Ovis aries: one gene and its partners. The protein of the gene in region 2 interacts with the protein of the main gene of each other region in a pairwise test. Links are inferred from orthologs where the notes say so. Each region holds a gene or a part of one and is shown on either strand. Other genes may lie near its edges. The genes, in order: PLOD3, EHMT2 and KLF3.

Region 1 (10,126 bases), on a different chromosome or scaffold from region 2:
GCCCCACCTCAGCTTCTCACCGCCTCTCCCAACAGCTCCAGCTGAATTACCTGGGAAACTACGTCCCCAACGGCTGGACTCCTGAAGGAGGCTGTGGCTTCTGTAACCAGGACCGGAGGCCACTCCCGGGGGGGCAGGTGAGGAGGGGGTGCCAGGGTGGGTGGGAGAGTGCTCTGAAGCAGAGGGTACCAGGAGGGTGCTGGGCAGTAGGGGTGGAGGCAAAGCCCCTGGAGATCCCCCCGCCTCCCCACCCTCCACTAAACTTGGCAGGGTGCGGAGGACAAACTGGGTAGGGGAGCTGGGCTTTCCTCTGAGACCTGTCACATTGTTGAATCTTCCAGCCTCCCCCCCGGGTACTTCTGGCTGTGTTTGTGGAACAACCTACCCCGTTCCTGCCCCGCTTCCTCCAGCGGCTGCTGCTCCTGGACTACCCCCCCGACAGGGTCACGCTCTTCCTGCACAACAACGTGAGACACCCCGACTGCCAGCCTCTCCCTCCCAAGGGACCTCCCCACCCCTGCTGCCCAGATCAGACTTCTCCCCACAGCCCAGACTCCTTCCTGTAGCCTTTCCTCCTGCAGGAAGTGTTCCTCCCGCCCCGTCCTGTCCCTTAGATGCCACCTTTCTGCCCTCCCGGCGTCCCCACTCTAGTCTCTTCTCCCCGCACCTCCAGGAGGTGTACCACGAGCCCCACATCGATGACTCCTGGCCCCAGCTCCAGGACCACTTCTCTGCTGTGAAGCTGGTGGGGCCCGAGGAAGCCCTGACCCCAGGAGAGGCCAGGGACATGGCCATGTGAGTGAGCCTCGGGCGGGGCGCCTGCACCGTTCCCTCCCTTCCCCTGCTCCCCACGGTCTTTTTTTCCTCCCTCCTGACTTCCAGCTGGTCAGCTTCCTTCTACTCCCTTTCCCTCCTCTCTCTTCCACGGGTTGCGGGTCAGGGGAGTTCCACCCCCTACCCAGCCCCCGCCCCCCCCCCCACCTGCTCCTGTTCATCTGTGTTTTGGTCTGTTCCCTCCAGGGACATCTGCCGGCAGGACCCCAAGTGTGAATTCTACTTCAGCCTGGACGCTGACACCGTCATCACCAACCCGCAGACCCTGCGCATCCTCATTGAAGCAAACAGGTCTCTCTCACCGGGCTTGGCCAGAGGGCCCCCAGATTAGTCCCCAGGGAACCTCACCTCCCGCTCTGGCCATGGGGCTTGCCTCCTCCCTGCCCTCATCTGCGCTTGTCCACAGGAAGGTCATAGCGCCTATGCTGTCTCGCCATGGGAAGCTGTGGTCTAACTTCTGGGGGGCCCTGAGCCCCGACGAGTACTACGCGCGCTCGGAGGACTACGTGGAGCTGGTGCAGAGGAAGCGAGTGTGAGTCTTGCAGCCTCCCCCAACCCAGGAGCCCTCCCAGACCCCTCCATCCTGCCCCAAAGGCCCGAACTCGGGGGCCCCATGTGGCCACCACGAAGGCGTGCTGGGTTGTGGGGTAGCTAAGGACTGATGGTGGAGCCGGGTGTGAGAGGGTTGTGACCAGCAGGGCTTCCCTGGGGAAGCAAGAGGGACCTCGCAGCTCTCAGCTGCCGAGGGAAGGGGCTCCAGGGGTGAACTGGGCAGGACGGTGGGGGGGGGCAGGGGGCCGCCCGCAGGGGGCACCCACCTAGCTGACCCCTGTGTGGGCCTCCAGGGGCGTGTGGAACGTGCCCTACATATCCCAGGCCTACGTGATCCGTGGGGAGACCCTGAGGATGGAGCTACCCCAGCGGGAGGTGTTCTCGGGCAGCGACACCGACCCAGACATGGCCTTCTGTAAGAGCCTTCGGGACAAGGTGAGGGGGCCTGGGGCTCCTGGTGGGGGCGCTGGGGGGCAGCACGCTGGCTCCCCATCGCCCTCCTTACACCCTCTGCCCACTGCCAGGGCATCTTCCTCCACCTCAGCAATCAGCATGAATTTGGCCGCCTCCTGGCCACCTCCCGGTATGACACGGACCACCTGCACCCTGACCTCTGGCAGATCTTTGACAACCCCCTGGTGAGTCGGCAGCCCCTGGCTCAGATGGTTCGGGCCTTCCCTGAAGGGGAATGCCACGCCCCGGCCCCATCACACGCGCGTGCGCACTGGGCAGGGTCGCCTGCCGCCTGGGCAGGGGTCCTCCCAGGTGGGAGCAAGTGGTGTGAAGAGGGCAAAGGTCAAGGAGCACCCCCCCACTCTCCCCTAGGACTGGAAGGAGCAGTATATTCACGAGAACTACAGTCGGGCCCTGGAAGGGGAGGGGCTCGTGGAACAGGTGAGCCCCGCTCAGGACCCCGGCCCAAGGGGATGGCCGCTGCCCCTGGGGCCCACCACCTGGATGAGGGGTTCTCCCAGGGTCCTTGCCCAGGTGCCTGGGGGTTTTCTGCTCAGGCAAGACAAAGGCAAGGGCTGAGTTGATAGGCATGCAGCCCCCAGCCCAACATTCATCCCAGTGGTCCTCCCTTGTCCGTTGGGTGTGTTGGTGTATGGGTGAAATGACATTTTTTAAAACGAGGTTGAAAACCACTGTCCCAGAACCCAGGGCTCCAGCAACCGTGCTGTCTGTGCCGAGTTCTGAGCACTGCTCTCACCTTCTCTGGCCGCATCGGTCCCCTTCCTGACTCCCCCGACCAGCCCATCCCCACGCTCAGCTGCCCGTCCCTCCACGTTCTCTCCTGTCCTGGCTTACCTTTCTGCTCCCTGCTTTCTGTCTCCTCCCACTGGCTGCCTGTCCCCTTCTGGAGCATCACCCAGCCCTGTTTTCTTCTTCCCCTGCCCCGTCCTGACTCAGCCCTGCCCAGACGTGTACTGGTTTCCTCTCCTGTCTGAGCAAATGTGCGATGAGCTGGTGGAGGAAATGGAACACTACGGCCAGTGGTCAGGAGGCCGGCATGAGGTGAGGGGCCTGGACCGCGGAGGAGGGGGCCCCCAGGAGGAGGGAGGGGGCATTTCCCTGATTGAGGGAAAATGGAATCTGGAGAGTGGGAACAGAGAGGGGGTCCCCGAGCAGGAAAAGGCAGACAGGGGGCACCTCTGTATTCTTTCATTCCACCGTGCATTCAAGAAATACTCCCTGGGCAGGTCCTTAGACACCAGCCCCTGACCTGGACGTGCAGGTGGAGCTCTGCCCTCCACAGCCCCACCTGCCGTCAGTAGCAGCAGGGAGCTAGCTTCTGAAGTCTGTGATGGACAGCCTCAGTGCTGCGGGAGTCACAGGTGGGAAACTTGACCCAGATGCGGGGGGACCGAGGGCTTCACAGAAGAGGTGACATCTTCGCTGAGACTTAGAGGAAGGAGGTGTGAGTCAGCTAAGACGTGGCGGAGACTTCCAGAAGGAGGGAGCGCAGACTTCCAAGGCCTGGGAGCAAGAGGAGGAGAAGTTGGCACCACTGCGTCAGCTCTGTACCCACAGGACTCTAGGCTGGCGGGAGGCTACGAGAACGTGCCCACTGTGGACATCCACATGAAACAGGTGGGCTACGAGGACCAGTGGCTACAGCTCCTGAGGACGTATGTGGGACCCATGACCGAGAGCCTGTTCCCCGGCTACCACACCAAGGTGGGCCACTGCACGCCACCCCTGCTCCCTCCTCCGCCTTCCCACACCTGTGCTGGCTGGACGGCTCCACACAATGCCTTTTGGCCTGTGAAACATTTAAATAGGCCCCATAGAGTGAGATCCGGGCTCCCCTGGTGGCTCAGATGGTAAAGAAGCCGCTTGTGATGCAGGAGACCTGGGTGGATCCCTGGGTCGGGTGGATCCCTGGGTCGGGAAGATCCCCTGGAGGCGAGCACGGCAGCCCACTCCAGTGTTCTTGTCTGGAGAATCCCATGGACAGAGGAGCCTGGCAGGCTGCAGTCCATGGGGTCGCAAAGAGTCAAACACACAGAGTGAGACCTTGCAGGAGGGAAGCTCTGGGGGAGCAGCCCCCAGGGAGCAGTGAGAACCCTCCCGGCCATCCCCCCAGCCTCTCCTCCCCTGTGCCCGCAGACCCGGGCGGTGATGAACTTCGTGGTCCGCTACCGACCGGATGAGCAGCCCTCTCTGCGGCCGCATCACGACTCATCCACCTTCACCCTCAATGTCGCCCTCAACCACAAGGGCCTGGATTATGAGGTGAGTCCCTACCCTCCACTCAGGGTTCCCCCGGGCCCCTCCACACACACAGACACACACGCACTCCCCTCCCCCAGGCCCTGTGTCCAGCCCCCTCACAGGCACGGTCACCTCCCTGCCCCTTGTCTGCCCTCGTCACATCTCCCAGTGACCTCTGGGGTCATATTCTGGACCCCTTCTGGGCTGGCTACCCCCTGTGTCCTGTGTCCCCCATCTGCCGATGCTCACCCCTCTTGTCCCCTCCCTCCCTGATGCCCAGTTTGGCCTCTCTCGCCTCGGGGCAGCTCACCACCCAGTCCCCACGTCTGCGCACTCTCCAGCCCCTTCCCCTCTCGTCTCTCCAGGGAGGTGGATGCCGCTTCCTGCGCTACGACTGTGTGATCTCGTCCCCCAGGAAGGGCTGGGGGCTCCTGCACCCGGGCCGTCTCACCCACTACCATGAGGGGCTGCCCACCACTCGGGGCACCCGCTACATCATGGTGTCCTTTGTCGACCCCTGACACTCAGCCACTCTGCCCAGCCTTCCGTGCCATCGTGCCTTCCCGCGCCCTGCCTCCTGGGGCGGGGTGGGTGTGGACTCCTCGCCTCCTGGGTATATGGGGTCTGTGTGCCTGGGACTGAATGTGTCGCCTCGCTGCCCACCACACGGCCCTCAGGAAGCTCAGGGAGCCCCCTGTCCTGTTCCCCGGTCCCCAAGGGCTCATGGGGACAGGACCTCTGGGGGTTCGCTACATGATAAATTATTGTTTCTCAGTCTCCCTCTCAATAAAGGAGGGTTTGTAATTCTTGAGCCCATTTATTGTTTCATTACCTGTGGACCCCTTGTCCATCCCACCACCCAGGGCAGAGGGGACACCGAGGGTGACCCCAAAGGAGAACTGAAAAGGAGAAATGACAGAAACGTGATATTAGAGCAGAGTGGGAATCTAGAAGCTTCCTTGTCATTCCAGAGCTCGGGAGGGGTGTGTTGGAGGCCAGACCCAGAGAAGGACTTCCCCTGTCAGGATGAGATGAGAGGCCCCCACTCCCGCACAGCCCCCAAACTGTCGTCCCCTATTCTCTCCTCACCTGATGGCATCTTCTCCCATGCAGAAAGGATGAGAGAGGCACAGCCCTGAGCTAGGGTCCAGGGATAGTGCTGGGACACGCATTGTAGGAGGGAAGACAGGGTGGAAACTTATTGAGAGCGCTTGGACCTCAGCTTTTAGTCACATGGTATCAGGAGAGGGGAATCTGGAGGGTGAACCCAAGAAAGCTTCCTGGAAGAAGGGGAAGGGAAGCAGCCTTGAAAAAAAAAAAAAGACCTCCTAGAGCTGGTTTTGCCTCTAGTCTCAAGCATCAAAAGCTTGCAGAGACCCCTGGAGGTACCCTGAGGACAGCAGAGCAGGCCCCTTTAGCCTGGTCCTCCCCAGCCTTACACCAGCTGCCTTCCTGTGTTGATCTCCCAATGTTCCCTGGCGGACGCCTTTTAAAAATCAAGCACCTGTCCTAGGACATTTCCAGCTTCTAACAGTCCACTTGCATCCACAGCTAAATTGTCCTTCCTTCCTCCTACCCAGATTCCCAGGAAAACTTCATGCATGAAACCATCCTTCCATCCTTCCTGGACCCCTGGGTGGGTCACCTTCCCACGTGGACTGAGCGTCTCTCTGGCTAGACTCTAAAGTTCATCTCACCCAGGCCCCCACCACCCTCATCACTTGCCCTGTGATGCGAGTGGGCTGAGCAGGGATAGGAGGAAATATCCCTCTTAACAGAAGGTCCCTGGTCAGTGAAGCTGCATAGGTGTGAGGCCAAGGACAGGGGCAGAAAGGGTGTGTCAGCCTAAGCCTATCCTGTCTCCACCCTTCATTCACAGAGCGTCTCCCATGCGCTGGGCACCCATCTTGACGGCTGCAGTGATGAGCACAATTTTTCTGTTGCTCACGGTGTGTGGGAGACTTTGATCAGAAAATTGCCATGATGGGAGACTTGCCTGGTGGTCCAGTGGTTAAGACTTTGCCTTCCAATGCAGTGGGTGTGGCTTTGATCCCGGACTGGGGAGCTAGGATCCCACATGCCTTATGGTCAAAAAAGCAGAATGTAAACAATAAAAGCAACATTGTAACAAATTCAATGAGGACCGTAAAAATGGTCCACGTTAAAAATCATGGTGATGGAGAGAAAGTATTCTGTGCCAGGAGAGAATGTGATGCGTGACAGAGGCTTCTGACAGTTGCGTGTCAGACTTCCGTAAAAGAAGTGACATTTAACGTGGCTCAGGACTTCCCTGGTGGTCCAGTAGTTAAGAATCCACCTTACAATGCAGGGGATGCTGGTTCGATCCCTGGTCGGAGAACTAAGATCCCACATGCCACAGAGAAACTAAGCCCATGCAGCTCAACCCCTGGCTCCTCTGGACGGGGAACTCTTGTGCCAGAACTATAGAGTCTGTGTGCTGGAATGAAAGGTCCTGCTTAACACAGCCAAATGAATAAATTAAAAGATAAAGAAGTGACATTCAAAAAAAAAAAAAAAAAGACATGTCCTACCAGTGAGGAGGGTCAAGATGTAGGGGTGGGGAAATCAGCATCATCATAAAATACTGAGTTTAAGATGGGCTCAAGGATGTTTGTCCAAGATGGGAAATAGCGCCAACATGTTGTAGGAACTAGAAACGAGAAGTGACCTTTAGGGACTTCCTTGGCCAGTCAGTGGCTACGACTCCCTCTCCCCAGTGCAGGGGGTCAGGGTTCAATCCCTGGTTGGGGACCTAAGATCTCACAGGCTGCACTGTGTGGCCAAGAATTTTTTAAAAGAAAAGTAATCTTTAAAAATTGTATCAAAATGTTTTAAAAAGATTTTTAAAGTGACATTCTAGGAATTCCTTGTAGGTCCAGTGGTTAGGACTGCCCTCTTATGGCCAAGGGCCCAGATTCAATCCCTGGTCACAAGGCAAGGCGCAGACAAAAAAAATAATTAATTTAAAAAGGTGTCAGTCCCTGACCTGGAAAAAGTGGTTGCTCTGCAGCCTCTAGCCATGTTGAACAGGGCCATAGTCACAGTGAGGACTGGCCCGGCCGGCATGGATGGAGTGCTCACAGCCCAGGGGGCTCGCACTTGCAGGGGCTCCCCAACCCTTAGCCTTTCCCATAAAACCCTTCCCTCCAGAGGTCTCCCCACAGAGGCCTAAGTTGCTCCTCAGGGAGTAAATCCTCCTGCAGGTCCTCTAACCAACAGGGGCCAGGCCTGGGTGACAAATGGGGAGTCCTGCTGTGGAGGGTACACACACACACGGCAACTTCCACTGGCCCAGGACGCTGCCAGTGTGCTCATCACAGGGAGCCAGTCCTGACCTCCACAAAGTCCAAACACCTTCCTCACCGCCAGACTCCAAGCCATGTCCCTGGTCTCCCCTTTCGGCCCTATTGATCCCAACCCTGTGAACCCAAAGAGCTGGTTAACCCTCCCTTTCCAGAGCTCATGATGGTCCACTGTGCAGGTCAGCAGAGGGAGCAGAAAAGAGGGCAGAGCCCAGGTCAGGGGTCAGAGCCAGGGGTTGGGCCAGAAGACAGAAAGCTTCAGAGCCGCAGTGGCTCCTGTGTGACTCCCCTCTACAGAAGGCCAGCCGCCTCCACCGGCCTCCAGGTGAGTGCCCTCCTGCGATGGATCGTCTCCGTTTTGGAGCTTGGTGAGTCCCTGAAGCCCTAAGGACCCCTGGGTCTGGCTCTCTGTTTCCCGATGCCAAGGTGGGAGGGAGGCGAGGCTGGGATCTCTTGCCAGGGCTGGGGGGGTTCCTTCAAGAGATGAGAAAGATGTAGGTTGGACAGATGTACCTGAAACGATGGAACAGGGAAGGGGGTTAAGGGGAGAGCTTGGACTTAAACCTCTGGAGTCAGAGTCCTCACACCCCTTCCCATCACCTCCAGCCCAGGAGTGCATGACTGCCTTATTCCTTGTACTCCTGAGCCAGGCTTGGATCCTAGAATTCACTACCTGGATGGGCTCTATGGAGACAGAAATACACCTTGGGCAGGAGGCCGTGGCTGTGCCTGGGTCCCCAACTGGGCCACGTGGAGACATTTCTGGGACCACCTCCCCATCTCGCTGAGGCACTGTGGAGCTCTGTGCTGGGTGGGAGCTGGGCTTCAGGGTAGACCCTGGTCCCAGGGTAGACCTCTGGGGCCGTCACCCCCAAAGTCCAAACTTAGAAGCCCCAAACTGGTGTGCACCCTGTGTCCGCAGCTGGAGGCACCACAGTGTTGGGTCCCTCCTACAACTACCTCTTGGTGGAACCTTCAGCACCTTCAGCACACAGACCAACGGCTTCTCCCTCCTCATCCCTGGCCTCGAGCCCCACCTGCTCCAGCTGCCCCATCCCGGCCATCTTCCTGTCTTCCGGGACTACATCCTGTGTGCTGGTGAGCAGGGGAGCCCTGGGTCTCAGGACCCCCAGTCCCTGCGGTCACCTCCTCCCTGCCCTCCTTAGCCTCTGGGGGTGCCTGGTCCCAGCTGCATCTCCCAGTGCCTTCCTCCCTCTTTTCAGGAGGACTCAGATGTCAGTCTTCAGGCCTCTAACTGCACTGAGAGGTGAAGGTCCATGTTTGGGACCTGAAATTCTGGCAGCCAGCCTTGTCCCCAGGCTGGTCCTTGACACTTGGGCCGACCGTGAACTCTGTCCCAGTTGATCCTGGGGGCCGGGAAGAGGAGTTGCAGCAGCCACCTCTCTGGCCTCTCTCCGCCCAAGCTGGGTCCCCAACCCCAGTGCAGCGAACCCCGAGGCTCACCCCTGCGCTGGTGGATGGCTGAGTGTGGCCTCTCTGCAGCGGCTCTCCCAGCTTTCCAAGCGCACAGGACACGCTATGGCGTCCCCAGCCACATGCACCTCCTCCTCAGCTAGGCAGCCCCCAGCCCGCAGTGGTTCTGTTGTAGGAAAGGGGACCCCTTCCAGGGCCCGAAACTGGGCTCTTGTCTAACACTCAGAAATGAATTGTCTGAGGAGACACATCTGCTGACAAAGCAAGAGATTTTATTGGGAAAGGGCACCCGGGTGGAGAGCAGGAGGGTAAGGGAACCCAGGAGAACAGCTCTGCCACATGGCTTACAGTCTCGGGTTTTATGGTGATGGGATTAGTTTCTGGGTTGTCCTTAGCCAATCATTCTGACTCAGAGCCCTTCCTGGTGGTGTACACCTTATTCAGCCAAGATGGATGCCAGAGAGAAGATTTTCTGGGAGGTGGTCGGACATGTGGTGTCTCCTTTTGACCTTTCCTGAACTCTTCCGGTTGGTGGTAGCTAATTAGTTCCGTGTTCCTCAGCAGGACCTCCTGTCATAAAACAACTCATGCAAATAGTTACTATGGTGCCTGGCCAGGGTGGGTGGTTTCAGTCAGTGTGCTTCCCCTAACAGTTCCCTCGGTGGATGTCATGGGGACTGAAATTAAAGGTGGAAACCACCTGTGCTGTTTGTGCTTGGCTGGAATATCGACACGCCTGGCTGCACCTCCCAGTGGCCTAGACACTGTCGAAGACCCACAGACACACCAGGATCCGCTGGCCACACTAGAGATCACAGAGTCCCTAAAGCACCTGGGGGTGGGCCTTGGTGTCACGCCCCCAACTCCTCCCGCTGACTCCAGTGTGCTCTGCGAAGTGAAGGTTCCTTTTGGGGGCCTGAAATCCTGGCTGCCCTATCACAACAATAGCAGCCCTGGACTCTGTCCTGATTGACCTGCTGTGCTGGTGGGTTTGATGCTGAGAAAGATTGAGGGCGGGAAGAGAAGGAGTCGACAGAGGATGAGACGGTTGGATGGCATCACTGACTGGATGGACAGGACGAGTCTGAGCAAGCTCCGGGAGCTGGTGATGGACAGGGAGGCCTGATGTGCTGCAGTCTATGGGGTCACGAAGGGTCGGACACGACTCAGCGGCCGAACGGAACTGGCTGGTGGGTTTGTGCGCAGCATGGATATCCGCGTGCCTGGCTGCACCCCACAGTGGCCTAGACACTCCCGGAGACCTGCAA
Region 2 (10,905 bases):
CTCTGCAGGCAGGCCCCCAGTCCTCAGTGCACACAGGGATCCCAGAAGCTGGTCCCCATTTCCTCTCCCTGCAGATTCCCCACCCCCACCCCCACACTAATCCCTGGGACCCCTGGGGCAGGCTCCCAGCCTTTGTTCCTCACAGACGCTCTGGAGACGAGCCACCTCCTTCCTCCTCAGGCCTTACCTTTCACAGGAACCCCAGCAGGCCGCTGCCTCTTTCCTCTGGGCTCCCTCCTAACAGGGATCCTGGAGGCAGGCCCCCAGCCCCCTCTGCTGCCCCAACTCCTTACAGGGGCCCTCAGCAGAACCCACTGCCCCTGCCATTCCTCACAGTCCCTGGCACGCAGACTCCAACACCTTTCCCCTCCTGGAGACTCAAGAGTCCTGGCTGAAACTCCCCCTCTTCTCGGGGACCCCAGCTGTTCCTCCCCACAGCAGCACAGAGCCTGGCTCACTCCTCCAGCCCCTGAACTCCTTCCCCTGCTCAGGACACTGACCTTGATTCCTTCAGGCTTCACTTCCAAGGGCCATGCTCTGAGGGGGCCCCGGAATTCAGGCGTGACACATTGCCCCCTGCTCCAAGGGACTCCAGCCTCCCTTCTCATGGAGATCACAGCTTCACTCCTCAAAGGCTCCCAGCAATGGTCCCCAGTCCCTGAACCCCATACTCCTCCAAGAACCCTGACGCTATCTCCTTTCTTCCATCAGCTGTTTCCTGGGTCCTCCCCTCGGGGACCACGACTGCCCTCAGCTCCTCTCCTTAGGGTAACCCAGCCACCATTTCCAGAGCAGGCCTCCCCTCCCTGACCGGTCTCCGGGCCCCTAGCCCAGCCTCACTGCCCCCAGCCCTCCGCCTCACCGTAGGCCTCCTCGTCCTGGTCCTGTTTTCCCCCCATGGCTCAGTCTCCCGGAGTGATTGGAGCCCAGGAGACCTGGCGGCTCACCTGCCACCAGCCCCGCCCTCTGCACACGTCACAGCCCCTCCCCTGCCTGTGGTCCCCGACACACTCGAGTTCCTTCTGGACTCAGCTGAGCGCTGGAAGCTGGAGTGCGGGAAGGAAAGCCTGGGATGTGGGTCAGGTCAGGGCTCATGGTCCGTGGCCTGAGGAACTCACACACTCTAAGAAAATCCTTTAGAATTCTGTAAACTACTTCCAACTGTAATACAGTCACACCCACGCCCTCCTACCGGAAGTGTGGAGGTAAGACCTACCCTAGACTAGACTCTGCCCCACAGTAATTCCCCCCATAACCTTCCCCTTCGCCTGGAGGGCTATCCACACCAGCCACACCTGCCCAGCCCCCTTCCCATCCCCTTTCTGCCCCTTGGACCCACATTCCCTCAGGCTGTGTGTGCTTTTCCGTCAACAATTGTCCAGTTTATTATAAACCCAACATTTATTGAGAACAAAGGAAACCAATTAGCACAGAGGGTCAATTTCATCAAACTTCAGTTGAGGGTGGGGAACGGGGGTTGGGGGGAGACTTGCGGGGGGAGGGGTGGCCAGCCCTGAAGTCACCCTCCCAGGAAAGAACCAGCTCTGGGAGACAGGGGCTGTCAGACCTCCAGGGCCTGGCTGGGAGCTGGCTGTGAATGTGTGAAGAGGTAAGGGAGAGAGGAGACGGTAAAAGCCCCCAGGCGTGGGCTGTGGGCAAGCGGCAGAAGTAGCTACGGAGCTGGTGGCCGTCCAGGGGTGGGACAGCAGCTGTGGTCCGATCTCAGGGGTTGACGGGGGGCAGGGAGCTGAGCTCAGGCAGCAGCTCAGGGTGTGGGTCCAGGCGGGCCAGGCGGCTCTGCTCCAGGGCAATGGCCTCAGCCGAGTGCTTGCACTTCTCAGAGCCACACTGGCAGGTGAAGTACTTGCTTTTGATGTCCCAGAAGCGGTCACCATAGTCAAACCTGTCAGAGGAGCACAAGAGATTTGTGGAGTCCAGACCCACTCCAGAGCACCCACTCCCATCTTCAGAGGGGCTCTAAGCCCTCCTAGGTTCAAATGCCCTGGCAATGCCGGGAGCTTGTTAGAAGTGAAGGCTCTCACGACCCACCCCAAACCTACTAACTCAAACTCCGTGAGGTCCAGGACTGTCTACAGTGACTTCAGAGAGGCTCTGCTCTAATCTATGCCTGGAAACCAGGCACTTGCCAGCCTTCTGCTTTTGGTCTGGGGCTTGCTACATCTCCCACACCCCTGGCTGAGCCTCAGGAGGCCTCACCCCAGCTCCTCCCCGGCCCGGATGTCTCGGGAACTGAAGAAGGCGATGCGTGGAAATCTCAGGTCCTGGTGCAGCATGAAGACCCGGACGGGGATGATGTTGGGGTCACACAAGTGGTTGATGAACCGGCTGATGTTGCCGTAGTAACGGGCATCGATGCAGTACACCTCTCCATCCTGAGGGGGGAGCATCACTCATCACATCTACCACCACCCTGCTGGCTGGCCAACCTCCTTGCCCCACTGATCACCTGGTCCCTCCTCCCCAGGTTTCCATCTGCTGCTTGAGAGGAGGAGGGCAAGGGGGTCTCCTGCCCACCTTATTGTCCAGGTCGAAGAGATAAGAATCGTCCTCTCTCACATCAGCCTCGGCATCAGAGATCAGTTCTCCGACATACCTGTTGGGCAGGAAGTGGTGGTTCTGGAGGTGAGCAGGGAGTTACTGGAAGTAGGCTCCAGGCCCTGCCTCTCCCCACAGCCTGGGAGTCCTCTTCCACCGTTTGTCAGCTGCCCTAGTCACTGTCTGTGAATCTCACAGATCCACATGGCTGGGGTGGGTGACCCAAGGATAGGAGACATGACCTGGCAGGGAGGGGGTGGGAGGTCCCCATCCAGAAGGGGGATCAGGAAGAGGAGCCTGGGGACGCAGACATGTGAGAGTACACATAGGACAAACTCTGGGCAGTTGGGGTCCCCCCGGGACAGCTAGACCAACAGGCAGGACCGACAGTGTGGGGCAGGGGTGAGAAGTGTGGGGCCATTGGGGTAGCAGCGGTGGGGAAGCTAAAGGGAAGGGTCAAGCTGCACCAGAGGATGATTCGGGGCAGCAGGGAAATGCCGAACCTCTGGGGTGAAGGGATGAGCATCTTGGCAGTGGGCCTGGGTGGGGAATCTGTTCAGGTGTGGACGTGGGGAGGATGAGGAAATCACCCAGCAGGTGGGGCAAGGTCGGGCTGAGGACAGGAGAGAGGTGAGAACTGCAGGAAGGGATGCAGCCCCAGGAGCTCTGAAGAGCTGGGGAGGAAGCACTCACGTTTGGAAAACAGAGGGAGAGGAGCTGGTGAAGAGGAAGAAAGGATGAGTTGCGGGTAAGGGTAGTGTCATGGGAGCCAGAGCTAAGGGGGTGGCAGATGCCAGGAGAATGCAGACTGAGACACAGGGGTCGGGGTGTGTGGACTGACGAGAGGAAGCAGAGGGAGAGGACAAAGGCAGATCTGGGCAGGGATGAGCAGGGAGTGGATGGGGGTGAAACAGACCTAGCAGGAAGAGGCCGCTTATCTGAGTCAAACTGAGAGATGACATGATGGAGGAAAAATGAATGGTTTCTTAAATAGCCACATAGGGCTGAATGACTTTTTTTTTTTAAGCCAAAGAAGATTAAGTTTGAAGACCATGAGGTAAAAGCTGGGCGACATGGAGAAGTTATAGATGCTGGGAAGAGAAAGAACTGGCAGACGGACAGGCCCGAGGCCCTTGAGGAGGTGGACAGAAGGGTAGTTGTTATCACCTCCATTTTGCAGACAAGAAGGAGGAGGCTCAAAGTGGTTGTGAACTTGGCCGAGGACTCCCAGTGGCAGAATGGGGCTTAAACCCTGGTCTGTTAAAACTGGGGCTTTCCCCAGTTGAGAAGGGCAGGGGAGAGGGAGTGTGAGGCTCAGAAAGACACTGATGGGGAGGGAAAGACGCAGGCCCTGTGGCCTGGGCAGAGTGGAGGCTCGGGGATGGCGGTCAGAGGAGGCTGGCCAGGTGGACCCATTAGGGAGGAGAGCAGAGAGGGATGCCTGGGAGTCAGCCATGGCCCCACACCCAGCCCTTTGCCCCCAAGAGCCAGAGTACCCCTCCCCCTCAACCACTCACTCGCAAATGAAGGTACCCTGGGGAATGGTCTGCAGGGCACGGACCCCCCAACCCATCTTGGCTGTTCGGTAGAGCTGCAGTCGCACCCTGGTGGTGGGAGAGAGGATGGTATTGAGGGGGGTGACGTGGAAGCTTCCCAAAGGAGAGAAGGGAGAAAGGGGGATGAGGAGGGCCGAGGGGCAGGGACTCACTTGATGCCGCTCTGGACGACTCTGTTCTTGCAGTTTCTCCAGCAGGAGCATGCCTGGTTACACTCAAAAATCAGCGGGGGCTCGATCTTATTAAATTCCTGGAGCAGCCGCCCATCCTGGGGTCGAGGGAGAGGAGGACAGTGGTTTTTGTGTGATGCTCCCCTCAGCTGCCCAGGACTCCCAAGACTTCACCGAAAAATCCACCACTGACCCCACCCCAGACTCAGGGAGGCCACGTATACTCTGAGTTCATCCAACAGGAAACCCACAACCATCGCCCTTGATCTGCGTATACCACGTCTCTGGCTTGGCAACGTCCTAGGAGTCCTGGGTCTCGCCCTGCTCTCTCTGCTACTTTCCCCACAGGACAGAAGGCAAGGGACGAGGCCCCACAGGGTTGGTGTCAGAGGCCAGCTCCGGAGGAGTGGATGGGCAGATGGCCAGGGCACGCACCTTGTCATACCAACAGCGGATGCTGAGCTGGCCACACAGGCAGTTGGAGCTGGAGCAGTCATCCACACACGTGCAGTGCTGGGGCGGGAGGTAGGGTCAGCTCAGCCCTCAGAATCGGCCCAGACACCTCGGCTTACCCCCTCAAGCCCCCCCAACTGCTGTCCTTTCTGTAGGGTTCACACTGTAAGGCAGTGGTGGTAATGGTCCCAGGATGCGGGGGAATCAAGATGCTGCTGACAGGGGTATCTCTAGGGCCACCTTGAGCCCATGCGACACCTTCATGTGTCCTAGAAAAAGGTCCCCTTCCCCAGGTGGATACAAGCCCACACCAGAGGTCCCTTTCAGCCCCACCACCTTGGCCAGGCGCCCTTGTTGGCCCACAACCTGCCCGGCTCCACTTGGTGGCTCTGGGTGCCCCTGTGGGAGTTGGTCCCAGGGCCCCACACTCACCTGTAGGTGGGTGATGTTGCGGTCAATGTTCATGGTGGACGTCTCGCAGTTCTCTGAGATGTACTTGTAATCCTCGGGGCAGGGCTCCCCGTCCACACCATTGACACAAGGGATGGGGACGTTCTCATAGCCCCGAGCCACGTCCCTGGCAGGAGGGGAGATGGAGCTGGGTGGCTAGAGCATGGGGTGAGGGCTTCCCTAGGAGCAAGGAGAGGGCTGGGGGAGGGGAGAGGGTGTTCTGGGGGTACCAGGTCAAAGGCAGGACACTTTGTTAAAAATCTAAATTTCAGATCAGATAATCAGGAAATAACTTTTTTAGTACAGCGCTTCCCTGGTGACTCAGACAGTAAAGAATCCACCTGCAATGCGGGAGACCTGGGTTCGAACCCTGGGTTGGCAAGATCTCCTGGAGGAGGGCATGGCAACCCAGTCCAGTATTCTTGCCTGGAGAATCCCCTGGACAGAGGAGCCTGGCAGGCTATAGTTCACGAAGTCACAAAGTTGGACAGGACTGAGTGACTAACACTTTCACTTTCATGTCCCAAATATATTGCTCAGAACACTCTTAAACATTAAAAAAGTATGCGTTGCTCACCTGAAATTCTAATTTAGCCAGATGTCTACCTTTATTTGCTGTATCTGCCAACCCTAGCTGTGTATGTTGCAGGGGGGACGGAGGTGGTTCTGGGGATTCCGAGGCTCCAAGGGGCCTGGGGAGGGGGCTCTGTGTGCGTAGAGAGCCCAGGCTCACCGGCAAATTATCTTCTCCGTGCGGATGGCCCGATTCCCCACCCCGAGCCGGAGCTTGCGGTTGAGCTGGAGGGCAAACCACACGTCGGAGCGCTCGGGGGTCAGGTCCCACGCCGTGTCCCCTTCCTTGTTCCGCAGCTCAGGGTTCGCCCCACGTGACAGGAACAACCTGGGAGGGGACAGGGAACCTGTGGGGCACCTGGCCGTGAGAGGTGGCAGAGGCGTGTGTGGGGGTGTGTGTGCGGGGGCGGGGGGCTCACAGCACGCAGTCGTGGTAGCTCTCCCGGGCCGCAATGTGCAGGGGTGTGTCCCCATGGTAATTGACAGCATGGAGGTCACAGCGGGCGTTCAGGAGGACCTCGGCGATGGCAGCGCTGCCGGTGAAGGAGGCCCAGTGCAGGCAGATGTTCTCCTCCTGTGGAGGCGGAAGGGGGTGAGGCTTGAGCCCAGCCGGCAGCTAGCTCAGGTGCAGGGCAGGACTGAGCCCGCCTCCGGCATCCCCACCAACCCTTCACTCACGTTGTCGGTGAGAGTGACATCCGCGCCCCGTGTCAGAAGCATGCGGATCACTTCTATGTGCTTATGCTCTGCAGCCCAGATGATGGGGGTCCACCCGCCGCTGTCCTGGGGGCGGGGAGGGAAGGGCCCTGCTCACACAGAGTCGCGGCTCCACCACCCATAGGCAGTGGCGCCCCGGGGCAGGTATTCAAGCTCTCTGGGTCTCAGTGTCTTCATCTATAAACTGGGACTAATAGTGTCTACTGCTCATGACTGCAAAGTAATTTTTCTCTTTCTAAAAAATATTTCCTAGATCTACCCACTCCCAAGAGAAGCAGGGACCCCAAGAGCAATAACCACCTTCAGGTACACAGATTGTTGTAGTCTCCAAAAAAATATTTCCCACTTAAAGGGATCAGAGTTTCTTAGAAAGTGGTAGAGTCTGAGTCTGGCGCAGGACAGCTGCTGACAAGGATGCTCTCAAAGGCTACTGGATCAGTTCAAAGCCACAGAAGCCTGTGGCAAGGGGCTTCTTCTGGACAAAGGATGGAACGGCTCAAAGATCAAGGAGAACACAGACTAAAACACCTCCAACAGGTGAAAAACTGAGTTAATACTGGCCAGTTCCAGACATTAAGGCAGCAAGTGAAAACTGGTAAAGAAAAACAAAAAGAACCAGAAAAGAATGAAGAGAAATACAAGTGAAGCAGAGAAAAGAGATAGGAACAGGCTGGAACAGTGTGACATGCAGGGAAAGGGTCAGAGGTCAGATGAGGGAGAAAGGGGACCAGGCTGCTGACCTGGGCGTTGACGTCCACCTGTCCTGTGCTCAGCAACAGGCTGACCATCTCCAGGTTCCCAATTTTGGCGGCGTGGTGGAGGCAGGTGGAGCCGTCTTCCTCCTGGGGGAGATGCGGGCAGATGAGTCCTCAGGCTGGCACCTCAGGCCCGGCCCCTGAGCCCGGCCTGGGCCTGTGTGGCCACGCACCTTGCTGTAGACGCAGCCCCCGCGCTGCACCATGTAGCGAGCCACCTCCAGATGGTTGTTCACCACGGCCTCCATCAGCGGCGTCCGCTGCTGCTTGTCCACGGCATTGATGTTGGCTCCAGCCTGCATGGAAGGTCTGTTGGCACCAGGGAGGGGCTGAGGTGGGGTGGGGTGGGGTGCTGTGGTCCCAGGTGGGGCCCACGCTGACCTGTAGCAGCACATGGCAGATCTCCACAGAGCCCTTCTGGGCAGCCGCGTGCAGGGGTGTGCGCTTGCTCTGCTGGTCACTCTGGAAGTTGGGGTCCAAGTTGTCCACTGTGGGGAGAGCCCACCACACCGGGAGAGGGAGGGACATGCGGTGAGCAAGCGTGGGGGTGGGTGGCATCTCATTCAGGAAGGCTTCTCAGGACCCCAGGCCTGGTCAGGGGTGCCTCCTGGGCCTCCCCTGTGCTCACATCCACCGTGGCACAGCCTCACGAGAGTAGACGTTAAGAGCACCAGCTCTGCCCAAGTTCAAATGGCCCCAGCCCCTCAGTACCCTGTGCACTGGGCAAGCCAATTCACCGCTCTGAGTCTCCACTGGGAAGATACAAGTGAGTGAAAGTGTATAAGCTCTCAGAATAGGGCCCAGGGCCTCTGCGTTTATCGCCACCACAGTCCCCATCATCACGGGCGACCTGTGTGTCTGCGTCCCCTACCAGCCTCGTCCTTCAGGGCAAAGACCATGTCCCTCGCGGCTGCCCTCCTGGCTCCGAGCCCAGGGACGGGCACACAAGCAGCGCGCAGGTAGGGTCTGCTGAATGAGCGAGGGCGACACTCACACAGCATCAGGATCACCTTCTGCAGCTCCCCTTGCTTTACGGACAGGTACAACTGCCGGGGGTGGAACCGGAGCTTCTTCCGCCTGCCGGGGAGAGGGGCCCTCAGATTCAAGTACCAGTCCCAAGGGCCACGGATCCACGCTCCCAGCCCCAGTCCCAGCGGCTGCGCCCACGCGTGCAACCCCTACTCACCTCTCCGACTCCTGGATGACCAGGGCCTTCTCCAGGGCCTCCCGGCCTGGCCCTGGTGGCAGCCCTACAGCTGAGAGGCAGCCCCCGTTGGGCAGGGCTAGGGAGGGCCCTGAGCTGTCGATGGTGTCGGCCAGAGGGTCACAGGGTGGACGCCGAGGCTCCCCCTGCCCCCGCATCCGGGCACTGTGGAAGAAGGTGCGAATGTCTAGGGCAGATGGGGACCACGCAGGGAAGAGACAGAAGGCAAGGGCGAAGCCAGTACCTGGGCTGGGAAGTGTCCGCTCTCCCGGGGGCATCCTGGGCCAGGGGTGGGGGAGCGGGGGCCGCAGTGCCAGCTGGTGGGGTCACCCCATCCCCCCGGGGGATGGTCACCTCCTGGGCCTCAGATGCGTCCTCCCCACAGTGGGGACAGAAGACCATCCCATTTAGCTGGGACACACAGGCCTTGTGGAAGCGGTGGGCCACACGGAAGTCAGGGTGACACTCCAGGAAGGTGCCCTAGGGGCAAGGAAACAACGCAGTCAGGCTCCGGGAGCCCCTGCCCCTGTGGGGCATGCCGCCTGGCTGCCCTGCTGGTCACTCACCGCCGTACAGAAGTAGCCACAGCCGGGGCAGCAGTGATGTTTGACCATGCGTGCGCGGTGGGTCTCACAGAGCACCATCAGGGCCACGCGGCTGGACGGTCTCATGGTCTCCCGCTTGAGGATGGCAGCGTTGCAGCCGGACAGCTGTGGGCGGCGAGGCCGGGTGACAAGAGGTGAGGCTGGGCTCCGGGGCCGGCTGCCCTGGCATCTCGCCGGCCAGCGCCCCGGGCCCACCTCTCCGTCCACGCTCTCCGTGGCCATGCACTTGTGTCCCGCTCTCTCGCTGATGCGGTCTATCTTGGGGGCCTCCATGCGGCAGCTGCAGAGGGGCAGCTCCTCAAACCCGCGTTCTGTCTCCAGCGAAGATGTGTCATTGGACACCCCTTGGATAGAGGGAGCAGGGAGTTGAGGGCGGCCCAGCCCCTCACCCACCAGGACCCCTCATGGGGCCTCTCACCCCCACCCTGACTTTCCCTCCATGCTCCAGAACCCCCAAAGTCAGGTCATGGACACCCCAGCTCCAGCGGGGTCCCCCTCCTCCCCATCCCCTCTGGCCCTGAGGGCACCCCTAGTGGCTCCCTATCCCGGCAATCGGCAATTGGCAATTACCAGCGTGGTTGGGAGAGAGGGTCCCCTCGCTGGGCAGCTCCAGGGACCCCAGAGGGACCTCCATGTACTCACTGGGGCCTGAGGAGCCCACACCATTCACTCCTGACACAGAGACAGAGAGAGTGAGAGTGCGAGCTCACAGGTGCCTGGACGCGGGGGTGCATGCGGAGCGTGGGTGTGCATGCACGCTTTCTGGGGGCCGGGAGGGGGCTGGAGGAGGGGACCCCAAAGCAGAGGGGCCTCCTCACCTCGTGGCTCCTTGGCCCTCGGAGGCTCTCGTTTCCGCCGTTTCCGTGATGGCTTCACCCACGGGCTGTCCTTCCGCCATTTCTTCTTGGCTTTGCGGCGGCCACTGGAACCACTCTGGGCAGGAGGAGGAGCATTAGGGTGGCGGGTGGCCCCCAGTCCGTAACCCCCTCCTTGGAGGACTCAGACCTCCGGTCCTGCAGTCTCCACTCCTCCGGGGCCGCCGGCCTCCCATCCTACCCTGTCAGACTGATTGCCGGACTCTTCATCTTCCTCCTCTTCTTCCTCCTCCTCCTCCTCCTCTTCTTCTTCCTCCTCTTCCTCCTCCTCTTCTTCCTCTTCCTCACTCAGTTGTTCAGCCAGAGCTTCAACCTCAGACTGGAAGAGAGGTAAAGCTGTGGCCCCCACCCCAGGCCACAGCTCGCTCTTGGGGAGAACTTGGGAGAGAGGCAGAGTAGGACACATCCCCCTGGAACTCAGAGAAGGAGGTGTGATCAAGAAAACCATAAATCCCCAAGGATGGTTCCCTGGTGAAGATGACTGTGGACAGGAGAGGAAGGAAAGGCTGGGTACAAAGACGGGCTATGGCGTGTCATACAGCAATGAAAAACACAGTGCTATGGTGATATGCAAAAATGTGATGATCTTGCAACATAATAGTAAGCAGGGAAAAAAAAAAAGTCGTTGTTCCAGATAACAAATGTATAGTATGAGATTCTATGAAGTTCATAAACACGTGAGACTGAAAACACTACACGAAAAGCTAATCAGAAATGCCATAATGAAATCAGGGTGATATCGTCTGAATCCACTGATCTTAACTTCACTAATAAAAGACCAAATGTCCAACACCTGATGATACAACAGGAAGCACCTGCTATCAAGTCTTCCAAACTAAAAAGAAAAATAACATGCCTCTGAGTCTGATCACACTTCTAGATCTATGAGTTTATAGGAAGAAACACTGGACAGAGAATTACATGTCAATTCCCAATCAGCCGACTCCTAAGTGTGAAGAATTCTGCAGGACAACCGACTTGGTTCCTTTAA
Region 3 (10,905 bases), on a different chromosome or scaffold from region 2:
GCAGAATTTTGTGGTTGGAGGCTAAACACTGTACTATGTTTTCTCACATGCCACTCTGGTTTCCATTTACTGTTCTTTCGGGGAAAACCTAAGAGGTCAAACGCCTAAGTCTCAGGCAACCACACTGTAGGATGTATCTATATTTTATCCTCTATGTAATTGGCATTTAGTTTGAGTCTCTTAAAGAGGCTTACATTTGATTTTGATCTTCAAAAAAAAAAAAAGTTGGCATGCTGTCTTAACCAATTCAGACCTTTACTGTTGCTATTATCCCTCCTTAGGAGAGAACTTGAGGCAGGGCTAGTGGTCAGGCGAGGGAGCACCTCTCCCAGGACCCAGGTGCAGTTCCAGGGCCCTCAGCAGATGCCTGCCATCCTCCGCACCTTCCTGGCTCCTCTCCCACACCCGCCTTTTCCTGTGCCTTCATATCTTTCCGGGATGGGGGAGAAGTTGAAATAAAATCCTGTTAAACATCATTACTATGAACTTCCTCTTTTTCAGAAAGGAAGCTGGTGGAGAGAAATGGCAGATGAGGAAGAGCCAGGAAAAATCTGTAGTTTTCTCAAGCTTCTCCTGCTGATTGATGTAAGTAATTAACAAGTTCTAATCTGTCCATTCGCTTCCCTAATGACTAATTACTTGATACATTACAAGCTTATGTAGTTGGTCTCTAACTGGGACAAAAGACTTCTTTTCCTTTTAAATGTGAATCTAAATTTCTTAAAATGTTATACAAGAACACAGGCGGGGGGCTGGGGTATGGAGGAAAGACTGGTGGAAAGGAAAATAAAGACTTAGTTCCTGAAATAAAACTCATTTATCTTGGTAAAAATATGTTAATAAATACATATCTTATCAACAACTTTTTCAGGCACCCAAAGAAGTGACTAGGAAGAGAATAAAAAGGTTCATTTTATCGAGTGACCTTACTTCTCAATTATTAGCAAAGAAAACTGTATTTTCTTCTATTTTTTTTAAAACTGTCAGTTTTGAGTATCACTTTACATTCCTACCCTGATGCTTAGAGGGACAATACCGAAGAATGAAGTTTAGCCAGTCTAGATACATGGAAAAGTGAGCATGAACTAGTGGAGGGTGGGGGTGGGGTAGGGAACAAGGACTTCAGTTATATAAATGTATAAGTAATGGAGAAAATAGATAAGTGAAGAGATTTATGGACAGTATTTTTTTTTTTAAATAAAAGTCCACTATTAAGATCCTTCAATAAAAAAAGTTTATCAGTTTACTTTAAAATTTCAACTTTAATGTCACTGACTGAAACTTTTCATCTTAAGAGAACTTTCGGAAATAAAGTGCTGAAGGAAAAATAGGAACAGTTAAATGTATCTTATGTGCTTCTGGGACACTGGGAGAGAATCCCAGATGAGTTCAGAAGTCTCTCCCAGTTATTAGATTTTAAAGGTTGGGAATCTAATAGTTTCTGGGTAGTAATTATGATCACTGCTTCAGTTACTCACTTTGTGAAAATGTCAGCCTCAAAAAAGGTACCCTAAAAGGCTGTGAACTTCAGCTCTAAATCCCAGCTCTACCACTGATGGTAGACCCCTGGCAAGGTAGTTACACTCTGTGCCTCAGTTTCCTCTCTATAAAATGGGTATATTAATAGGATCTCAGAACGCTGCTGTGAGTGACACACACAAAGCACTTAACACTTGGTCCAGATGAAAAATCTGCTCAACGGTAGCTGTTGCTATTTCAAGGTTCAGAAATCCACTTGTAAACTTCGTCTTTACAGTTGTCTAGTCTTGAGGAATTTTGGGGGGATGTCCTAACACCAGACCGTGAATCTCTACTCCAGGGTCCAGAGATGCTGGCAGCATCGGAGGGCAGTAATACTCTCGAGAGGGGTCAGCAGTCCATCTTGAGAGGGCCAGACATTGGTACAGGTTGAGGCTCAGGATCTTGGGATTTCATTCATCCTTGCTCTCTTCATGGCTTATTTTTAAGGAGGTTGTTTTGATATCTTTATAAGTAAGAAGTTAGAATATCTAGTAAATACCAGAGACCTGGTCATTGTTTTGAATTAAGCTGATCCCTCTGTTTTATTTTTCCACTGTTTATTCATGGCTGCACTGGGTCTTCACAGGCTTTCTCCAGGCACAGAATGAGGGTTGCTCTCTAGGTGTGGTACAAGAGCTTTCTCACTGAGGTGGCTTTTCTTATTGTGGAACCTGGGCTCTACGGTTTGTGGGCTCAGTAGTTATGGCCCACAGGCTTAGCTGCCATGAAGCATGTGGAATCTTCCTGGACCAGGGATCGAACCTGTGTCCCCTACATTGGCAGGCAGGTTCTTAACCACTGGACCATCGCGGAAGTCCAAGCTCATCCCTGTGAAGTTTGCTACAATTTCATGTACACAACTCAATGGGGAAATCTGATCTTCAAGATTTTGTTCTAAATACACTTTCATACATGTAAATAAAAAACAAAAGGAATCTGAGTGACTTTATGAATAATTCTAAAGCTACAACTTTATGATTAAGCAAAATGGATTTCAAAGCTGTAGTCCTCCCCTGAAAAGAAATGGCTTCCTAAGGCAAATATTGGCGCTGCCTCATTGAAATGGTACCAGGCATTTGGTTTCCAGTGATTCTTTCCTGGCTAGCTGGTTTCCTATGTGGGCTGCTACTGGGCATACTCCAAGACATTACTTAATCACATCTGTGAGAGAATTACTTGAAGAGTGCATGTTCCAGTTGTGGCTACTCTGTTCAATTTTCTGAGAGGCAAAATGCATTCTTCGATCAGCATTAGAAGAAGCACATTACCCATTAATCATTAAAAGCCATTTAACTTGAGATCATCAAAAGAACATTACTTTAAAAAAGAGATGCTTTCAGCAGCATTCGGAGCAAGAATATTTGAAGGCGTATTCCAATATTCTTCTTCTGAAATGTGTTACATTGTAAATTCATAATAACCTATACTTTGGAATAACCCCTTATAATCAATGGACCCCTCCCTTTGTGAGTAGATGGCTTTAGAGCATCTTTTTTATCATCTGTTTATGAACAATTACAAGTGCTAAGCCATGTTACCCGTTACCTTGCAGAGACATATGTCATTCTAAAAAAGAGGCAATTCAGCTGTGTCCATTTTGGTTTGCTGTTGTTGTTTAGTCACTAAATTGTGTCTGACTCTTTGTGACCCCATAAATTGTAGCCCACCAGGCTCCTCTGTCCATGGGATTTTCAGGCAAGAGGAGTGGGTTGCTATTTCCTCCTCCAGGGGATCTTCCTAACCCAGGGATCCAACCCATGTCTCCTATATTGCAGGTGGATTCTTAACCACTGAGCCACCAGGGAAGCCGCCCATTTTGGTTGGTCAGTTTTTCCTGTCACTCAAGTACAGAAGCAGATGCAACTGGCTAGATATGATCTAAACATGGCAGGAAGAGCGCACAGCTGGAAGGAGATCAGCCCAGGTCCCCTCTGCTGCTGTTAATGGTGTGATTACAGGAGACTCACCATGTCTTGGCTCATCAGTTCTCTATTTGCTCTGACTCCCACATGCTTGTTTTGGGAGAATGAAATAACTCCTTTGAAAACACTTGGAAAAGTTCCTTTTTTTCTTTTTCTTTTTTTTAAATTTTGTGGGAAAGGAGTGCTATGCAATTGTGAAGGGTAACAATGAAAAGACCATCAGAGGGTCTCCCTACTGGTGCAGCTGGGGCAGAAGATTCATTTTCTTCTTCTCATGTATCAGGGAGTGGATGAACTCTCCCCCCCTCCAAAAAAAAAAACCAAACTGAGTTGGTTCAAATGATAATTAACCCATGAGCTATTATGAATGCACCTACTTGGACTGAATGTAGATACAACCAGAATTTATTTGAAGTTCCAGAAAATAGCTGTTCTAAAACCAGATAATTCATATTCTGTTACAGAACTTGTCATGAAAGGGAGAGAAGAATGCAAAAGATAAAGTAGAAAGGGGGGCAGAAAAGCTGGAGAAAAAGTGATATGGGAAGGAAGTAATAGAAGGGAGTCTGAGGAGACAATAACTGTTGTACTTCCTCTGTACTAGGCAGCTGGTCCTTAAACTCAATGTTGAAAGGACTATAACATAAGAAAAAATAATTATAACCAATAATGTAAATAAAGAGAGAGCAGGGGCAAAAGACTAAGTGGCTAGGCCAAGGTCACACATATGGTGGAGAGTAGAGCTGGGATCAAAGATGTTGGGCCCAAAGACGATGTCTGTACCTACTGCAAGCTCAGCCCCCAGTGTAAACCTTGGGAGAAGTCAAGGATAGTGCAAACCACAATAATGATGTTATTTAGCCTGTGTGTGACACCCTCACATGACAGCAAGTTAAACCACTGTTCAGGTGCCTGGATACTGATGGATACCGTGTAAACTTTCTACTAGATGGCATTTCTAAAGCAGACCAAACATTCTAGGGCACACATAATGAAAAAGACTGGAGAAGCTTCTCTGAGCAACATCGTCTACTTTCTGTTGCCATCGGACTGGGTTTTGGAGAATCTTTCCCGGGCTTTGTGGTTGGCCTGAAAATTTTGATCAAAGCCATATCCCATCACAGAAACAGTGTGCTTTATGAGAACTGACAACGGGAAGGACCATGAGTGATCCCATAAAGTTTTCAGGATCCAACCTTAAGTGGGGTATCTAGAACACCAAATCCAATCCACATTGGGATAAAGATGATGGGAGAACTATATACACATAGTCTGGAAGGACAGAAAAAAAACAGGATAAAAATGATTTAAGGGGTAAAGTTGGCAAACTGTAGGGTGACCGATTTACTGAAAAGTGACACAAGGAGTTGAACAGAGCACATTGATTCTGGAGAGATTCCATCTGACCCAGGGGCTGCCCCAAACGACCAGGCGGTCCTAGGAATCCACACCACATCCCTCGCCGGAAGCTCGTGCTTCCATTCCAGTTCCGAGATGCACGCTGCTATGCAATTGCCGGGCAGACCTCAGTATACTTACTCTTGCAACAATGCTTGCGGGGGGGACACTGAGTTCATTAAAGGGGGTGACATTTCTTCGGGATAATAATCTGTCCTCTGTGGTTCGATCCCAGGTTCTATTTTAATTTTTTTCTGCAATATAGGCTTCTCATATGATTCAATTACAGGTACTAAAAAATAAAAATAGAGAAGTTACTCTATGTACACTTTACCAATGTCAGCCTTTAAAAGCTTATCCCACAGCTTCTAGCTACCACACTGATGTGTGAGTATCTACTTTTGGCAAAATGATAGCAGAAATGAACCTGGGGGTGAAATTCTTACTTTGTTACCAAACACTATGTAGGAAGTTGGACTTTTAAGACATAGCCCCCAGGGGACTTCTTCCTTATGACTTTTGGTTATCTCCTTTTACAACAACCTGCTGCCTCTGACCAATCAGTAAACAAGCTGGTTTTTAACAGCAATTAGCTATCACATGGTCTAAAGCAGCCATCTCCAATCTTTGTGGCACCAGGGACTGGTTCTGTGGAAGACAGTTTTTCCATGGACTGGGGTGGGGGGTGTTGGGTGTGGGTGAATCAAGCCCATTACATTTATCACATACTTTATTTCTATTATTATGTCAGCTCCACCTCAGATCATCAGGCATTATATCCTGGAGGCTGGGGAGCCCTGGACTAAAAATATTTCTTAGGAGCCTTTTGTACCTAGAACCATGCTGGCATTCAATAAAGCAAAATGTAAAGTCAAGATTCTTGTTATCCCGAAGTTGACAAGTACATAGTGAAACTAATCGTTTCATGGCATTAAACAGACAGCCTGATTCTTGGGAGCTCTTCCAGGATCAACACTTAGAAAAAGGAAATGCCTTAGGCAGCCTCTCAGTCGAATATTTCCTTTGCAGAGTACAGCAGCTCTTGGCCCCTTGCTTCCTCTGCTCCCTTAATCAGACTCCCTGGTAGTGAAGACCTACAAGTCCGGATTCCTGGCGGGGGCGGTAGCAGTGTGGGTGAGCTGCAGAACAGAAAGGTACCTTGCATGCTACTACTGGAATTTTCCATCTCCTCCGACAAGGAGACCATGAGCGGCTGCTGGAGGTGGCTGGTGTACATGAAGGGGACAGGCTGCACGACGACGGGCTGGATGACGGGCAGAATGCCCGGGCTCCGGATGCCGTGGCGGGACAGGGCTGCGGCCATCACCGGCGGCATGGACAGCGGCACGCTGAAGGGCTGCACACCGGGCGGTGGCGGCGAGTACTTCTTCCCGGGCGGGCTGGAGGAGGACAGGCTAAGCCCAGGCGAGGCTCGCCTATGCGAGGGCTGGAACTTCAGGGCGGACGGAGAGTTCCCGGCGGAGGGCGGCGAGCTCCGCTTGTTGACTGTGAGGTCCACCGGCTCCATCTGCATCCCGTGAGACAGGCCTTCCGGCGTCTGGAAGAACTTATCCGACAATGGCGTGGAGTAGATGACGCCGTACTTGTTGGGCTTCATTGACTCCATGTAATTAGACGGGTATGACTATTAGAAAACACAGAAACGTATCAATGGACAGGTGTGTTTGCTTGAAACACGAAATAAGATGAAAATACACAACAAGGCACATTCAGTTACATGGACTTTCATAAATGGTTTGGATTTAGATATATGCTTGACACACACACACACAAATACCATGAAAGAGTTGATCTAATAAATGTAGGCACTAAAGTTAACATGGTAACTATGTCACAGACAAAAAAAATCTCAAGTTTAATTCTACAGTGATAGCCATATCCAATGTTAAGATTGATGATGACGCCTGGAAAAATTCTAAAACAGGTTATAAAAGGCTTATGGGCCTTATCATTGGGAGTTGGGATTCACCAAGAACCAGCCAAGCCAAGGAACCTTATTGCTTTTCTGATGGGGTTTCTTAATTGGTAGGAAATACCCTCCTTGGCTTTAGCGTGCTCCACCTGAGCATAAAGACACAGAACATTTCCCATATGCTTGTGGATAACGTGGACAAACAGAGCCACGTGGTAGTGCCTTGGGATGCTCTCCAGCCACTGACCAATCCATGCCAAGGTGACCACGAATCCTGGCTTTAGTGCTAAATGTACGACATCTGAGGAAATGCCTCAGTATCATGCAACTCAGGATGGCTAGTCACCGCACACACTTATATACAGAAGGCCACCCACACAAAGGTGATTATGTTCTTGGCCCCGACTTGTTCAACGATTTATTTACAATTTGAGACACTGCAGAAGATGACTTAATCTCCAAATCCGAGGATGACACAGAACTATAAGAGCAAATAAGGACTTAAATAAGGACACGTGATGTTGGAAGGGACTTGCATACAAGCTGAGGCTTTGCCTTCTCACCTTTCCTCCTTGCTACTCCCTCATCAAGAGACTGGGGGATAACCTAAGAAGATACTGGAGGTGAGATAATTAGTCCCCTCCCAAATCTAAGATCTGTTCATAACTGACTTAATTTGTCTTCAAATACATTCCTTTCTTACAATATCAAGATAATGTAACTCTCATTTACCAGGTTGAAATCTAAATCAATTGTAATTGCCCACTATGGGTACTGTCCTTGGCCATGGAATTCATTAAAATTACTTCTATTCCTTAAGAAACATTTAAAGTCTGTTGTAGAATGCCTAAAAAAAAATTAAACTCAACATAAACCCTTTACTTGCATGCATTTTAGGGGAACATGTTTTCAGTGGTAACATGTCAAGTCTGCCTGCAGAGGATTACTTATATTTGAATGCTTTATAGTAAGGGTGAAAAATAACATACTGTGCCTCTCTCCTGGCTCTAAAATTCAATGCATTTGTGATTCTGAAGCAACACTAGCTCACAATGCAACTGAGAAGACCCACTAATGGGAACTTATAATTAAACCGCTTAAATGCACTATTAATTTCTGAACCTCCCTGGCCCCTTCAGTGGCCAGTAATATGAGTTATTAATAACTGTGAGACAGCAGTGGTTTTGACTGGGATTAGTACTGAGATCACACCCTTTCTTCTCTGGGCCTCATCGGGTGAATCTCCACCTGGCTATGCATCCGACTCATCCGTGCTGCTTTAAAATCCCATTCCTGCACTTTCAAAATAACTTTATTATGTTCAAAAGCAGTTCTATAAAAGAAGGCAAGAAAAATTACTATATAAATATTAGACATGCAAGTGTCATGAGGATATGTCAAAACCTGTCAAGGAGGTACTGGATACTCATCTTCTAGGAGGCTATGACGTTAAGATTAGAATTGGACTCAATGAGATGCCTATGAGATGAACTTAACACACACTGGGGTCCCGGAGTCTTTTCTTCCTGCTGTATACAACAGGTGTTTACTTCAGTGGGCTTTGATTGTATCAGGTATTCTTCAGACTTTACTAAGCACACAGATTCACCTGGGAATCTTGTTAAAATGCAGATTCTGAGTTACTGGGGAATGACTCAAGGTGCCATATATTGGCCTTAGACTAGCAGGGCTCTAGATGAGATATAGAATAAAAACACTAATTTTTATTACTAACATTTGGTAAATTATTTAAATGCAGTTTAAACGTGGGGAGGGAGAATTTTCACTAATAATACTGCTTAAAAACAAGAATATGAGGATATAAAATCAGGAAACACAAAACAAATTGTTGTTTTTAAAAACAGTTTTGAATTATGTATCAAACATCAAATGAAGACTACTTCTACCGTTCTTTAGAATAAGACACACATAGGTGCAACACAAGGTGAGAGGCTCAAAATATACAGTAATATTAATATGCAATAGATTTAAATTGAAATATTAAAATAGGCAAAAGCAAGAGGCACAAGGTTTGTGAACAGAAATTACACATTATGTACAATGAGGGCTTCAGGAAGTAATTAACTACAGGAGTAAAAAAGATTTCTCCTAGTTCTAAAGTTTAGCCAGCTTGATATAATTTTCTAAAGGGCAAAAGTTCTGGTACAAGAAACAAAAACTCCAGGAAATGGGAGGCAGTGTTCATTGTTTCTACTCACAGAAATGTAGCTTCTCCCTTATTTTCAGCCCTAGTCTTCAAAGACACCCCTATGACCTAGATTTTAATACCAAGTTATTGGCCACTACATAGGAAGCAAGAGGAGGACAAACGTTTCTTGCTGTCATTGCTGGATTTTTCTATCTGTGGGGTGAGTTTAAGGAAAGCAGGAATTTAGAACCTGGGGGATTTGCAAACTTAATAACCGTCTCAGGTTTCTCAAGCCATAAAGAAACAGCCACACAGAGCTGAATTTTATAAATTATGCACATTTGCACAGTTTTGCTGAGAGTCTTCCCTCCTGTGAATGCCTCCTGTCCCCTGGACATGTGGTCTTTGGAAGGCTCCAGGGCTAAAAGCAGGGGGGCTGTTTTGTGTGCAGGGGTACACAACTAAGTCCAGTGTTAACTATTTCTGGTCTGACTGCTTCGCCTGAGGGTGAAGAAATGTGGTTCTTCAAACTGTCTCACTAGCAAATTTCACAGCAATGTTTACCAGAACCTTCTATGAGGCATGTTCACTTTAATCATTTGGGTGGAGCACATAAGCCATGCAATCAGCTTGCAACAGTCTGGTTCTCCGCAGCAGAAGGACTGACACAGGGCTTGCCTGGGGTGTGTGCCTTGGGTGGATACACACTGGTAATAGTTGCTTCCTCTCTGTTCCAGAGCATTCCTGTGTTCTAATGAAGCAATGCAAATAAGTGTGCCTGCACCAGCAAAATCCACATCAGCTACAAATAGTGATGAAGCAGAAAGAGGTCCTCTGGCCCCTGCTGGGCATCCATGGCCCTACCGACTCAAGCAGAGGTTTCCTCCACTCCTCACCCCCACTAAGGGCAGCAAGGGGGTTACTTTGCCAAAAGGTCTGCTATTAAGAAGGGTTCTTTCCCTCTGTGGTAACATGCATTCAAGTGTTCACACCTCCGTGCCCTGGGTTACTTACTTGTCGTGGGTTATTTAAGTGTCAGTGGAGTGGGAGATGATGGTCCAGCCCAAGTGCTCAGAGAACACTGGGTGAATGGATGGTGTGAATCAACACGCTCTCTGAGCAAGTTTTTACCACTGACCAGGCTCAGCATAATGATTTTTTGATTCTCAAAAACAAAAAAAAAAAATTTTTTTAAGTATGATGAGGAAAAAGGCACAGGGTTTAGATAATTTTCCAATGCTATCACTTCCTATGAAAGTGAGAATTAATAGTTTCTCATTTTATTGGAAATAGTTTTGGTGAAGTTTTCCATTACAAGATGGTTTAAGTGGATGGAGTGACTGCATGAAACGTGGGTGAGTCTCTGTTTCACTATTCATTAATATGAAAAAAAAAAATGCGACCGTCCGTGACAGGGCGATGGCAAGTCAAAGGAATCTTCATACCAAGGGTGGAGTTCCAAGTGCAGGAAGGCGCGGTGCATTTATAAACAAGCTCTTTGGAAACAGCAAATGTCATGCCCCTCTGTGCAAACAAAAGTAGAAAGCTCTCTTTCTACCAGGCTCAGAAAAGTCATGAAAAGTTTCTGTTAGAACCCGGCAGAGGGACTACCGATTTTAAGTACTTCTTAATCTGTAAGGAGTCTGTTAGATGATAATTTTCATTAAAGAAAAAAATACACTTTCTTCAGAAGTAATCTTCCTTTAGGAACAGAAGAATATGAAGGGATACTTTAAAAATTTTTATTTTCTCATTTCCTGAATTAAATTCTAGTTTTCAACCTCTTTGGCAGTACTGGTAAAAACAACTCCTTTACATGTTCATTTTATATACACCTGCCATTTCATGTTTTACATATAAGTATCTCCAATTTTATAAATAAGAAAAAAAATTGGAGACTCAGGGAGCTTCTGATAGCTTTGCCAGCAACACATTGACAGTAAGTAGCAGAGATCTACAGCACAGAATGGGGGGGGTGGGTG

What was found.
Region 1: the proteins of EHMT2 (region 2) and PLOD3 interact in binary tests that used the Homo sapiens proteins (3 or more experiments, as listed by UniProt). The two-hybrid records come from large-scale screens. The link is inferred for Ovis aries from reciprocal best matches to the Homo sapiens genes EHMT2 and PLOD3.
Region 3: the proteins of EHMT2 (region 2) and KLF3 interact in binary tests that used the Homo sapiens proteins (3 or more experiments, as listed by UniProt). The two-hybrid records come from large-scale screens. The link is inferred for Ovis aries from reciprocal best matches to the Homo sapiens genes EHMT2 and KLF3.

What each region holds. Positions count from the first base shown.
Region 1 is NC_056077.1:35,919,693-35,929,818, forward strand, and holds the end of PLOD3 (multifunctional procollagen lysine hydroxylase and glycosyltransferase LH3), read left to right. Parts: intron 1-35; coding exon 36-137; intron 138-341; coding exon 342-467; intron 468-673; coding exon 674-795; intron 796-1,020; coding exon 1,021-1,125; intron 1,126-1,240; coding exon 1,241-1,366; intron 1,367-1,679; coding exon 1,680-1,821; intron 1,822-1,910; coding exon 1,911-2,024; intron 2,025-2,211; coding exon 2,212-2,280; intron 2,281-2,796; coding exon 2,797-2,901; intron 2,902-3,417; coding exon 3,418-3,564; intron 3,565-3,996; coding exon 3,997-4,122; intron 4,123-4,466; coding exon 4,467-4,622; 3' UTR 4,623-4,912; downstream 4,913-10,126. UniProt on the Homo sapiens protein: Multifunctional enzyme that catalyzes a series of essential post-translational modifications on Lys residues in procollagen. Plays a redundant role in catalyzing the formation of hydroxylysine residues in -Xaa-Lys-Gly- sequences in collagens.
Region 2 is NC_056073.1:26,542,255-26,553,159, reverse strand, and holds the end of EHMT2 (histone-lysine N-methyltransferase EHMT2), read right to left. Parts: intron 10,234-10,905; coding exon 10,096-10,233; intron 9,973-10,095; coding exon 9,858-9,972; intron 9,712-9,857; coding exon 9,610-9,711; intron 9,384-9,609; coding exon 9,235-9,383; intron 9,145-9,234; coding exon 9,001-9,144; intron 8,915-9,000; coding exon 8,679-8,914; intron 8,600-8,678; coding exon 8,417-8,599; intron 8,308-8,416; coding exon 8,225-8,307; intron 7,719-8,224; coding exon 7,612-7,718; intron 7,527-7,611; coding exon 7,404-7,526; intron 7,318-7,403; coding exon 7,216-7,317; intron 6,542-7,215; coding exon 6,437-6,541; intron 6,333-6,436; coding exon 6,178-6,332; intron 6,087-6,177; coding exon 5,919-6,086; intron 5,313-5,918; coding exon 5,168-5,312; intron 4,796-5,167; coding exon 4,718-4,795; intron 4,381-4,717; coding exon 4,265-4,380; intron 4,161-4,264; coding exon 4,074-4,160; intron 2,615-4,073; coding exon 2,536-2,614; intron 2,394-2,535; coding exon 2,218-2,393; and 4 more. Other genes in the region: SLC44A4 (choline transporter-like protein 4), read right to left, coding at 863-899. UniProt on the Homo sapiens protein: Histone methyltransferase that specifically mono- and dimethylates 'Lys-9' of histone H3 (H3K9me1 and H3K9me2, respectively) in euchromatin.
Region 3 is NC_056059.1:58,663,893-58,674,797, reverse strand, and holds part of KLF3 (Krueppel-like factor 3), read right to left. Parts: exon of another isoform or gene 9,938-10,905; intron 6,487-9,937; coding exon 6,000-6,486; intron 5,134-5,999; coding exon 4,983-5,133; intron 1-4,982. UniProt on the Homo sapiens protein: Binds to the CACCC box of erythroid cell-expressed genes. May play a role in hematopoiesis.